3 linked regions of the Mus musculus genome follow. The protein of the gene in region 1 interacts with the protein of each later gene in a biochemical or structural test. Links are inferred from orthologs where the notes say so. Each region holds a gene or a part of one and is shown on either strand. Other genes may lie near its edges.

Evidence for each region.
Region 2: of the proteins of Tlk1 (region 1) and Asf1a, one has a biochemical effect on the other in vitro, tested with the Homo sapiens proteins (3 studies listed by BioGRID). The link is inferred for Mus musculus from reciprocal best matches to the Homo sapiens genes TLK1 and ASF1A.
Region 3: the proteins of Tlk1 (region 1) and Mbp form a complex in vitro, tested with the Homo sapiens proteins (2 studies listed by BioGRID, with this or other methods). The link is inferred for Mus musculus from reciprocal best matches to the Homo sapiens genes TLK1 and MBP.

Annotation. Positions count from the first base shown.
Region 1 is NC_000068.7:70,745,407-70,749,060, reverse strand, and holds part of Tlk1 (serine/threonine-protein kinase tousled-like 1), read left to right. Parts: intron 1-3,016; coding exon 3,017-3,127; intron 3,128-3,421; coding exon 3,422-3,558; intron 3,559-3,654. UniProt on the Homo sapiens protein: Rapidly and transiently inhibited by phosphorylation following the generation of DNA double-stranded breaks during S-phase. This is cell cycle checkpoint and ATM-pathway dependent and appears to regulate processes involved in chromatin assembly.
Region 2 is NC_000076.6:53,606,955-53,609,873, reverse strand, and holds the end of Asf1a (histone chaperone ASF1A), read right to left. Parts: intron 2,742-2,919; exon of another isoform or gene 2,210-2,741; coding exon 1,997-2,209; 3' UTR 892-1,996; coding exon of another isoform or gene 860-891; 3' UTR 649-859; downstream 1-648. UniProt on the Homo sapiens protein: Histone chaperone that facilitates histone deposition and histone exchange and removal during nucleosome assembly and disassembly.
Region 3 is NC_000084.6:82,473,809-82,478,029, forward strand, and holds the start of Mbp (Golli-Mbp), read left to right. Parts: upstream 1-1,314; 5' UTR 1,315-1,586; intron 1,587-2,166; exon of another isoform or gene 2,167-2,324; intron 2,325-4,221. UniProt on the Homo sapiens protein: The classic group of MBP isoforms (isoform 4-isoform 14) are with PLP the most abundant protein components of the myelin membrane in the CNS. They have a role in both its formation and stabilization.

The sequences.
Region 1 (3,654 bases):
CAAGTACACATCTGTATACAGATATACACACTCCTAGTTAAAATAAAAGACAAATGTTGAAAATACCCACTTTAAAGTCAGAATAGGTGATTAGCTCTCTGAGTGTGAAATTGAGAAATTGTTGAAGAAATAGAAGTAGGTTTATAATTTTTTATTTGGTCATCTACCTCTAGTCAGATAACCCATTTCCTGTTGAATAGTTTATTGCTCTCTGCCTGACATCAGATACCATTACTGCCATAATCCTGTAAGATTTTTAATGGAAGCTTTATTTTTAAAAATAAATTAGGGTTGGCAAGGGAATTTGAACTGCTCTTCCGGCCCATTTGGGCACTCCATACATGTGCTTCACAGATATATATGCCAGCAAAAACACTCATATACACAGAAAGTAAATCTGAAAGTATGTAAGTAAATAAATCTAAGGTATTTGGCAAGTGGCTTTGCAGATAAAAGTGTTTGCTAAATTTGATCTCCAGAACCTACATAAACATAGGAGAGAACTGACCTCACAAAGCTGCAGCTTACACACACGTGCCATGGCTGTGCATCCATACATCATGCATGCACATACACAATACATTTAAAAACATTCCTAAAAGTATACTTAGAATGTGAGTGAGGCATAAAGCAAGATTTCTTTTCCCTTGCAATTCCTTAGGATCACCTACCTGATGGAAGTACTAATTTTGAATTCTCTCCCATGGAGTTCTGATTAAATTGATGTAGCTTGGATGTTGATAATTTTAAGAGCTTCTACCAACTATTGTAATTCAAGCCAACACTGTGAACCAGTAGCACCACAGCTTAATAGCACCAACATCTGTGACTCCATTGTAACCTTGGAACACTGCTCTGTCACAGCCCTTACTGCTAACCTACGCTTCTGGCATCAATGATACATGTCTTCATCATTACTTTTCTTTCCTTATAGTTGTGTGTGTGCATGCATGTGTGTATGTTGGTGTTGGTGCTGGTGATCAAACAAACCCAGGACCTCCCATATGCTAGGCAAAGTGCCACACCTCTGGACCGTATCCATAGCCACCTTTTCACTTTTTATTAGACTGGATGTTTCCTAGCTTTCTAGTTTTTAGGTTTTTTGTTTGTTTGTTTAAATGTTGGCTTCTTCCACTTTGTGGAATGTATTTTCATTACATCATACTTTCTTTTTGATGATTGTTTTTACATGTTAATTATCTTCAGTTTATAGTTTATAGTTTGTGTATACTTTATCAAAGATTCCAAAGGAACTGATTGTAAGAGCCTAAAGATGTTCTTTACTGAAAAACGAGGCTCATTTTAATTTCTTCCTATATAACCAATTATCCAGTTGAATTAAAAAGTTCATTTCTATACTTAAGGCTCTACCATTAAATCTTATTTCCATATGCAGTATACCTATTTCTTTCTTATGTCCATGTTCTGTTTTGTGTATTACTGGATCAATCCTGAAACACTATTTTAGCATTTTGCAGTTGTCTTTGTTAGTAACACAGTATAAACAACAGTACTTCACATGAGATAGAAGTGTATTTTAAGAAAGAACAGAAGTGGCAGCCACCTAGATTTAATTGCCCCACAATTTGATGAGACCTTGGCTCCTTCAGCAGCTTGCTTCCTGTCTTCAGTGCATGGCTTCCATCTTGAAGGTCACCTGTGGGTACAAAATAAAAATAGTCACAGTCACGGTGTCTGTGTTCTAAGCAGATAACCAGGGAAAAGAATCACAAAAGGTACAATTCTCTATGTATCCTTTTTGAATATTCTACTGAATTTACTTAAATTTCTTTGTAAGAGAAGCTGGGAACTGTAGTCTTTTGACTAGGTTCATATCAGTTTAGAATTAAGCATCTTTTCCTTTATTATGCAAGAAGAAAATTAGAGTGATTGTAATTACCGTGGGTTTATATTAAATCTTGACATATGGTATACATGGTACATGCCCATAAACCCAGTACACTGGGGGCAGGAGGAGGACAGCAGGATTATAAGATTAAAACTAGCCTGAGCTATACTATATTCTACACTACACACACACACACACACACACACACACACACACACACACACACACGAGTAGAGGGGAGACACCATGAGAACACCCTTGATGTGCAGTTGAACAAGTGCTCTTTGTTTTGGCTATCTGGAATCTTAAGGAAATTTTGAGGTCAGTTGTTCAAGTTAAACATCCATACTGGTTTTCAAACCAGGTTGAGGCTTTGTCTGTTCTAAAGTGAGGATCTGTTTGTGCTAAGTCTCTCTTTGTTGCTTTTGATGTGCAGTTTTATTGACCATGTAGTTTTAAGTTGGCATTTACTTTCTCCCAACATTTTAAAAGTATCACACGGTTTGATTTCTGCAGGATGCAATGATGCTTGGGGTCTCAGTGTTTAGTGTTTAGCAGCGGCGTTGACTGAGAAAGTGAAGTTGCTAGGCTTTCCTTCAGACCTGACTCAGAATATTTGAGGTGTGGGGTATCTCAGCAGGCCACAGACGCGATTCTCCTCCTGTAGTGATAGGCTAGTCAGACTTCCCTGGAGTTAGAGAGAAGTCTCCTCTTTGAGTAATAGCAACCCGCAGAGTGAACAGAACCTGTATCCTGTTCAAGGAAGGGTGGTGAAAGGAGTTCATTGGGTCAGCAAATGACAGTGTTGTCCTTACACCTAGTACAGAACATGTTTGAGAGGATCTGGCAGTGGAAAAGAAGAAATTCACATTTCCTCTTACATGTGTTACACATATGTTACACATTTAAACTAGGTTATACTTCTTATTTACAAATAAAGGAACTGAGCTTAGATTCAGGTGATACAGCCAAAAATGTATACCTTAGAATATACACATAAATGTCCAGAATGTGTGTGTAAATTTTTGGTACTTTCTACTATGCAGTTAATGTTTGATAGTAAATAGACTATTGTTGTTTATCTCATCTATTTAATTTATTCAAAACAATCACTAAGATTTTCATACATACTGATTCTAGACCTTTCATTTTCTACTCATGTTGTAGGCCAACTGTGATCTCAGGCGGCAAATAGATGATCAACAGAAATTACTTGAAAAATACAAAGAACGATTAAATAAGTGCATATCTATGAGCAAGAAACTACTTATTGAAAAGGTGAGTTATTACTAAATTTTCTTTTCCCTTAGTAGTAGTTTGCTCTTCCTTTCATGCTTTTAAAATCTGAATGAATAACCTGGCGGTGGTGGCTCATGTCTTTAATCCCAGCCCTGGGGAGGCCGAGGCAGATGAATCTCTGAGCTCAATGCCAGCCTGGTCTACAGAGTAGATTCTAGGCCAGCCAGGGCTACACAGAGAAACCCTGTATCATGAATGAATGAATGAATGAATGGATAGATGGATGGATGGAAAATTTTGAATGACTATAATGATTTTTTTTCTCATTTTCAGAGTACACAAGAAAAATTGTCTAGCAGAGAAAAGAGTATGCAAGATCGGTTGCGCCTTGGGCACTTTACCACAGTTAGACACGGCGCTTCCTTTACAGAACAGTGGACAGATGGTTTTGCATTTCAGAATCTTGTGAAGTTAGTAATGTTTACAATTTTTAAAAGTTATTTTTTTGATTGTGTTTGTATGTATGTGTGTGCGCACGCGCGTCAGACCTGAAGTAACAGGCAACT
Region 2 (2,919 bases), on another chromosome or scaffold:
CTCAACTCAAACAATGCCATCATAACCTAGCTCTTCAGCTGCGCGAATGGAGTGTGTGTGCTGTGTGTGTTATGTATTCACCACACATTCATTTACACTGATCAAAAAGAGGAAATAGCACTGAGTATGGAGTAGAACGCCTTTAATGTCAGCACTCAGGAGACAGAAGCAGGTGGATCTCTGTGAGCTGAAGGCTAGCCTGGTCTACATGGAGAGGTCAGGACAGCCAAGGCTATGTTGAGAGATCATATCTCAAAAATAAGAAATGGGGTGGAGGGCAGTCTTCCTTGTAACTATAATTCAGACATAATGCCTAAAATCACTGCATGCTAGTTTCTTAGTTGTTAATGTTTAAATGTTTCTATTATTCTTTTACTAAATTCTATAGAGCAGTAACTTTTAAATAATAAAAACTAGTAGTTTTTATGTCTCAAACTTTTGTGACAATGGGCCATATATTTAAAAATTGATATAAAACCTTAACCACATAATCTCATTACAAAGTAGTTTTTATAATCAGACTTAATACTCCAGTGAATCACTTAACTTGAAGATTTAGTTTTATTTCTAACAAACTGATTCTTACTGTTTTGATCACTGGACTCTTGTTTTAACATTTTCTCCTAATTGTAGTTAGACAAAATGAGATTTTTTTTTTTTCAAATCGTTTTAGTAGTCAGGTTTTATTTTTAAAATCTATGAACTGGGTAATGGTCAATACTGTAATAACCTGGAGTCTTAAATTTCAAAGTTTAACATTTAACAAGACTTGGTTGCACAAATTTACCTTTTAAAATAGCAAGAAATATATACAACTTAAAAGAGTCTGTTTAGACAAATGCCCTTTCCTTTTCCTCAGACTGTTTTGAAAAGTGCAGTATAAAAGCTTAGATGTGAAGGCACCGCATAACCTGCATCCCATGGCTCTCCTGTGCATCATCACCATAATCAAATGAAAATACTGTACTGTAAATGTAATGGATCAGAACTTTGAGGAAGTATTTACTTCTCATTAAAGAAAATACACTTTTGGCCCATTTATCCTTTCTAAAACTGCTCTTCAGAAAGAAAAAAAGAAGTCTGGAAAAGTTATGTAGATTATGTCAACTACAGAAAATACCCTGATCTTACACGTTAATGAGAGCCAGAGGATATGGGGTAATACAACTGCAAATGGTAAGACATGCTTCGTAAAGTAGCTAGCCAGAATAAAGCTAACCAGGCCTTTCTAAATTACCCTTGTAAGTTCGGCATTTCTGTAAACTGAAAGAAAGAGCAGATCTGAACCATTTTAATGTAATCTTACACTTTAGAGAACTTGTATTTGCTCTTGCCATGTTGAAATCTCTGGACAATGATTTATGGTCGTGGTTTCCCAGTTTTAGATGTAAGGAAGCATACACCATAGTCAGAGGGACTTCAAAGGCAGCTGCATTTGTTATATAAAAACTAGAAGTCTGGTGTAACACAAGTTGTGGTAAGATGCACTGGGGTGGCCTAGAAAAACCCTGGTGGCATATAATTGACTTCAAATCCCATTTTAATGTGATCTTTTTTACTACAGAATGGAAGTTTTCTCCTCAAATTAAAAGGACACTATCTTCACAGGAATAAATCATTTTAGTTGAAGTAAACTTTGTTTTTTTAAAAGCTAGTAAATCTTATTGTCCAAGAGGCTAAAACAACACCTTTACAACCTGGTCTAATAATTTGATATAAGTGCTTTAATTACATATAAAAGAGAAGAAAATAATATATATGCTTTAATCAGATTAGTTTCATGAACAAATAAAATAACACATTAGAGAAAAAAGTACTTAAAAATAGTTGTATTTATAATCCACAATTTGCTCAAATACTGGTTTTTCTTATAAACTTTCTACAGGATGTTTTTAAACAAATTCTTCACATTTCACGTTGACTATGTACTTACGGAACTTCAGGGAAATAGTTCTGTTTTTAATAGCTTAATCTGTACTAATGGGATGGCACGTGGTCACATGCAGTCCATGTGGGATTCTAACATAACATTGAGTGAGTTTTCTGACGTGGACCATCCCTTTGACGCTGACGGTAATGCATCTGTTGAAAGAAGGGACTGTAGATTTGGGTTACTGCTCTCTGCATCTTCCAGTTTTTCTGTATTATCTTCCCAGTTAATGTGGAATCTTGTGACTCTGGGATTAGATGCCAAAATATTCCTTTGAAGCTAGAAAGAGAAACATTTAAGTGGTAAGCACTAAGGGAGTTAGATTACCCTGTGCAAACTGGGTGGTTCTCTTTATCTTTCTAGAAGACTAAATTCATATGCAAAGGCATCAACAAGTGAAGCACTTACACATAACTAATAAGTAAGGACCACAATAGCAAAGGGCTAAAGAACTATTAGCCTTCAGAAACAAGGTAAAGGGAAGTGAGGGGTGGGGAACATATTTCACCCCCCAACAAAGTACCTGCTCTTATACTTCTGCTACCTAAAGAATACATACGGGAGGGAAAGGTCCTTTCGTATCCCTGTTAGAGGTAGTTAAATAAGTGTGTCTTTAGCCTGGTGTATTTTCAGGTTGGGAATATCGCTCACTGCCTTGGCCATACTCTGGAAAAGTCCCTAGGTTCAATGCTAAGCACTAAGAAATAAAATACAATAACCAGACTTCAAATGAACAATTTTCCCCAAACAAAACCCCTAATTATTGGGATCTTAGCAGTAATATATTAAATCTCAGTTTCCGAAACAGTAATATGTTCTAGTCTCTTTTACTGCCATACAAAGGTTCTACAAAGAGTAATCCTGGATCAACAGATCTTCAGACTATGAAAAGCATCCCACCCTCACCTGCAGAAAGGAGAACTAACTCTAGTCTATGGTAAGGCCTAGCAGATAGAGTACTTTAGTTAGTCACCAGTAACTAAACCTCT
Region 3 (4,221 bases), on another chromosome or scaffold:
GCAGCGCAGTAAGCTGCTAAGCCATGAATGGCCCTTCAAATACTCACCAATGGCCCTACTAGATAGCCTGCTCCACACTCGCATCTTTCTCTGAAAGTCTCTTTGGAGTTTGAGTGTCTGGTCTCCTGTCTACAGATGCATTGTATGCCCACAAACCCCATGCAGGCGACATTTCGTAAATCCTTTGCCAATGGTCTAACAGGGCAGCCATGCCTGCCACCCTGTGAGAATTCTGCTGTTTCTAGAAATCAGCAGAAACCTTGGAGGGCGGTAGGGGTTTGTTCTCAATGTAGCTAGGCAGCTCTCTGAAGCCCAGATTCATTGACATCTGCAGGGGAGGGATGCTGGGACACATCTGGTTGCTGACCTGAAGTTCTGATGCATGGATTGAGTTAGGGACCTAGCGTTCCAACATCCTCTAATGTCCTGGGTACCAAGGGTGACCTGAGCAGCTGTGAGCATTGGATGTCACTGTCCTGAGTGACTCTCTTGCTTAAAACAAGTTTACAGTCGCTCCATCTTAGGTTGGACTAGCACCTTTTTCTTGTCTTTTTATCCTTACTTCCAAATCCCAGAACCTACATCCCTACACACACACACACACACACACACACGGTTCCTAGGTAAGGACCAGTTAGATGTATCTAGACTGCTGTGGAAATATTTGCCTTAGGAAGACTGGCAATTGGACAGAGTCACTTGATTCTCCACCTTCTCCACCTTCCAAAGGATGTGAAACTCCCTGGGAGTCAGCTCTGAGTCCGCCTGTACTCTGCTCACCTTTGTATGCATGGTAGGTGTCCCCGGCTTGTCTGAATAATCCCCTGGTATGGTTTATCTCATGAACTGGAGACTTAGTGCGATCCCCATCCACTAGTCCCTCCCACACACCCAGAGCCAGGCTAATGGAGTCAAAAGATCCATGTGATAGCAAGGAACTTGTGTCCAAAGAAGCAGCGTCTACACAGAGGATTCCTGAGTGACAGAACGGGGAAGCTTCCTTGCTGGAGTCCGGAGCCTACTACTTCGTGACAACAGGCGTCCTAGGCCCTCCAGCCAGCACCTGTGGTCTCAGCTCCAGCTTCAGTCCCAGAACACAGAGATCCACCTCAGGCCTAGTCGGGGACAGGTTCCAGGGCTCAAGTTATCCGGTGGTTCTGGGCGATGCCATTTAGACCTCTCTTGCCAGGTCCTGCTCTTCAGATTCCTGAAGCAATAAAGTCCAGAGAGCAGCGGTGCGGGAGCGTAGGGCGGTGACGAGCAAAGCCCCGCCCCACCGCTCCGAGGGCTGCCCTGCCCCCTGGGTCCCCGCGTGTCCCCCGCCCTCCCAGTGGCGCGCGTTTACCTGCTTTCAAGCACTGGGAGGCGGGGCGGGAGCGGGGTGCGCGCCCGTCCCCGGAGCAGCCGCTGTCAGTCACCGCCGCTGCGCGCCAGGGAGGACCAGCCTCTGGCTCAGGCGGCCTGAGCTTCACGACCCCGGAACATAGTATCCGCGCCCCAGCGACCCCTAGCCCAGCGTTGGGTCCCATCCGCCGGGATCCCGGGATCCTGGGCCCCTCTTGGCCTCCGAGCAGCAGCCAGCACCAGTAAGTGATCATTAGCAGGGACGCGAGGGGCAGCCCTGGTGCCTTTGTCTCGGGGCCCCTGCGAGCGGGAGACCCCGGTACGGAATCTGACTCCTTGAGAGGCGAAAGAAGGGGCCTTCTGTGAGGGCAGCAGAACTCTGTTTCCCTTCTTCAAGGCCAAGAGTGTCTGGGTCACACCTGACCAGAGGTGCAGGTGGCCCGGCAGGTGGCAGCTAGGCGACCTCCGGGACCCGATACCACGTCGACAGCCCCGATCTTTCTTAGGAAGGGTGGACGCGAGTATAGACTCAGGTCCACACCAGTGGGGACTGGAAGCCTGGGGGTATACAGGGGTGGTTTCCAGCTAGCTCTTGGGACTCCGGGGTCGCTGAAACTCGAGAGGCCTAGGCTTGGTGAGGGGAGGTGGCGGAGGAGTTTAGAGGGAGGAGGTGACCTCTGTCTAGAGAGACCGCCCTCAGCTACGGAGAGGGGTCTGATGGGCTCTGAGGCACACTAGGGTCCATCCAAGCCTGCGGTGCCTGCTGATCACACACCTGCTGCCCAGTGGGCGATCCCTGCCCTGCCCTTCCCCACGAGGAGAAGCAGTTTCCCTTTGAGCAGAGGGCGGTGACAGGCACTTGTTCAGGCTTCCGCCTTTCGGGGCCTGTCTCAGGCTCCTAGGCCCTTGGGCGCCGCGCGTAGCCCCCAACCCACCTGCGGCCACCTGCTGGCACTGGCACTGAGTCCGATCTTCCCGCGGTAACTTGATCTCCTGGTCCTGCCTAAGCGCAGGGTCCCAGTGGTTCCCGGGGGAGGGGGGGTGCGGGGGGGCAGTCCTCGTGTTCTGCTATGGTTTGTTGTAAACTCTGGTTTTTAGGGCTTGTATGAACCGCGCGTACCCGGTTTGGGATTTTGAGGTGGTAGTCCAGATCCATGTTTGGAACGCGGAGCAAAGCTTGGACAAGGGTTTGGTTCTCCGAGGTTCTCCTTGCTGTTTGCTAGCTAGACAGCTGCCGATCCACACAACATACGAGAGTGGATCTCTGTGTTGGGGAAACTCTTGGAACTGGATTGTGGGAGACAAACATCAGGCAGACATCATCTTTGCCTACACACACACACACACACACACACACACACACACACACACACACACACCTAGAACGACTTTTTCAGAGAAAGTGAGTTCTCATTTAAGACCTGTGGTTTGGGAGAGTCCGTCTCGCTAAGTTCAAAGGGCCACCCACCCGCTCACTCCCCATGGCTCTCCCCAATAGAGCTTACCTGCCAACACCTCTGGGGTGGGTGTGAGCACTCGGGGTCGGGGACAAGGCCATCCCAGGCCAAAGCACCTGAGAACCAGAGGCCTGTAGTGCTCTCTCAGACAACTGTACAGGTGCACACCAGTCCAGGTTGGGGTAGCCATCCCCAGCTAGATTCTCAGAAACCCGAAAGAGAAGATATGTTTTAAAATAATCATGAATGTGAGATGCAACTCCTACGGATTTAATGTTCTGAAACGACTGCTTTTTATCAACTTGAGATTTAAAAAACAAAAAACCTAGTATGCTCAAATCCATTTTGTAAATCCATTTAATGCCTGTTTAGATGTGGAGTGTTGGTTCTTTGTGGAAATGGTGTGTGTGTGTGTGTGTGATTTTTTTTTTTAAGAAAAAAAAAAGATGTGTGAATACGGAAAAAGAACCTAGCCCTGTCTTTCAAGGATGTTCCAGTTTAGACTGATTCTGGAGTGCTGAAGCTCATTTTCTTTCCTCTTCCGGTTCTTTGTGATTTTAATCTTTAGATTACATTTATTTACGTGTGTGTGTGTGTGTGTGTGTGTGTGTGTGTGTGTGTGTGTGTGTGAATATGTGTGCAGGTCAGAGGATGACTTGTAAAGAGTAAGCTTTCTTTCCACAATGTGGGTTTGTGGGTTGCAGGGATCAAATTCAGGTCGTTAGCCTTGGTGGCAAGTGATTTACCCACTGACCCATCTCACAAACCCCTCTCCAGGTTCTTCCAAACAAAGTCAGCAGCTGCCTCCCCAGGAGCAGGTGGCGGTGGCTGACCTCGCACTAAACAGCAGGCTCCCTGCTGAGAGCTGTTAACTACTGCATTTACAGCTTAACGGCCTTGGGAGAGCTCCCTCCTTCCTCCCCCCTCCCCTTCATTACATTAGTTGCCTCTCAGGCACTTGGAGACTGAAGAGCCACCTGGCCCCATTTGACCCCCTCATGGCCACTTGAAGGTGCCCCCTTCAGATAGAGATATGGCTCTGTGGTTAAAGACACCTTACTGCTCTCGGAGAGGATGTAGTTCAGTTCCCAGCACCCACATCAGTTGGCTCACACCTGCTTACAACTCCAGCTCCCAGGAATCCAGCATCATCTTCTGTGACTCTGAGGACATCAGCGCTCACAACATGCACGTACCCTCATACATACATACATACATACATACATACATTACCAAAAACAAAAATGTAAGCCCACCACCAGTGAATGACCATGCCTATTAAAGCATCCAGTCTCTGTCTCCAGGTGACCTGACACCCAACCTTGTTGTTATCCCTTCCTTGGCTTCCATTGCTGTCATTAAAGAAGAAAAGTAGGTGTCCCTGTGATTCAGCATTACGTGGAAAAGCCATGGCTTTGCA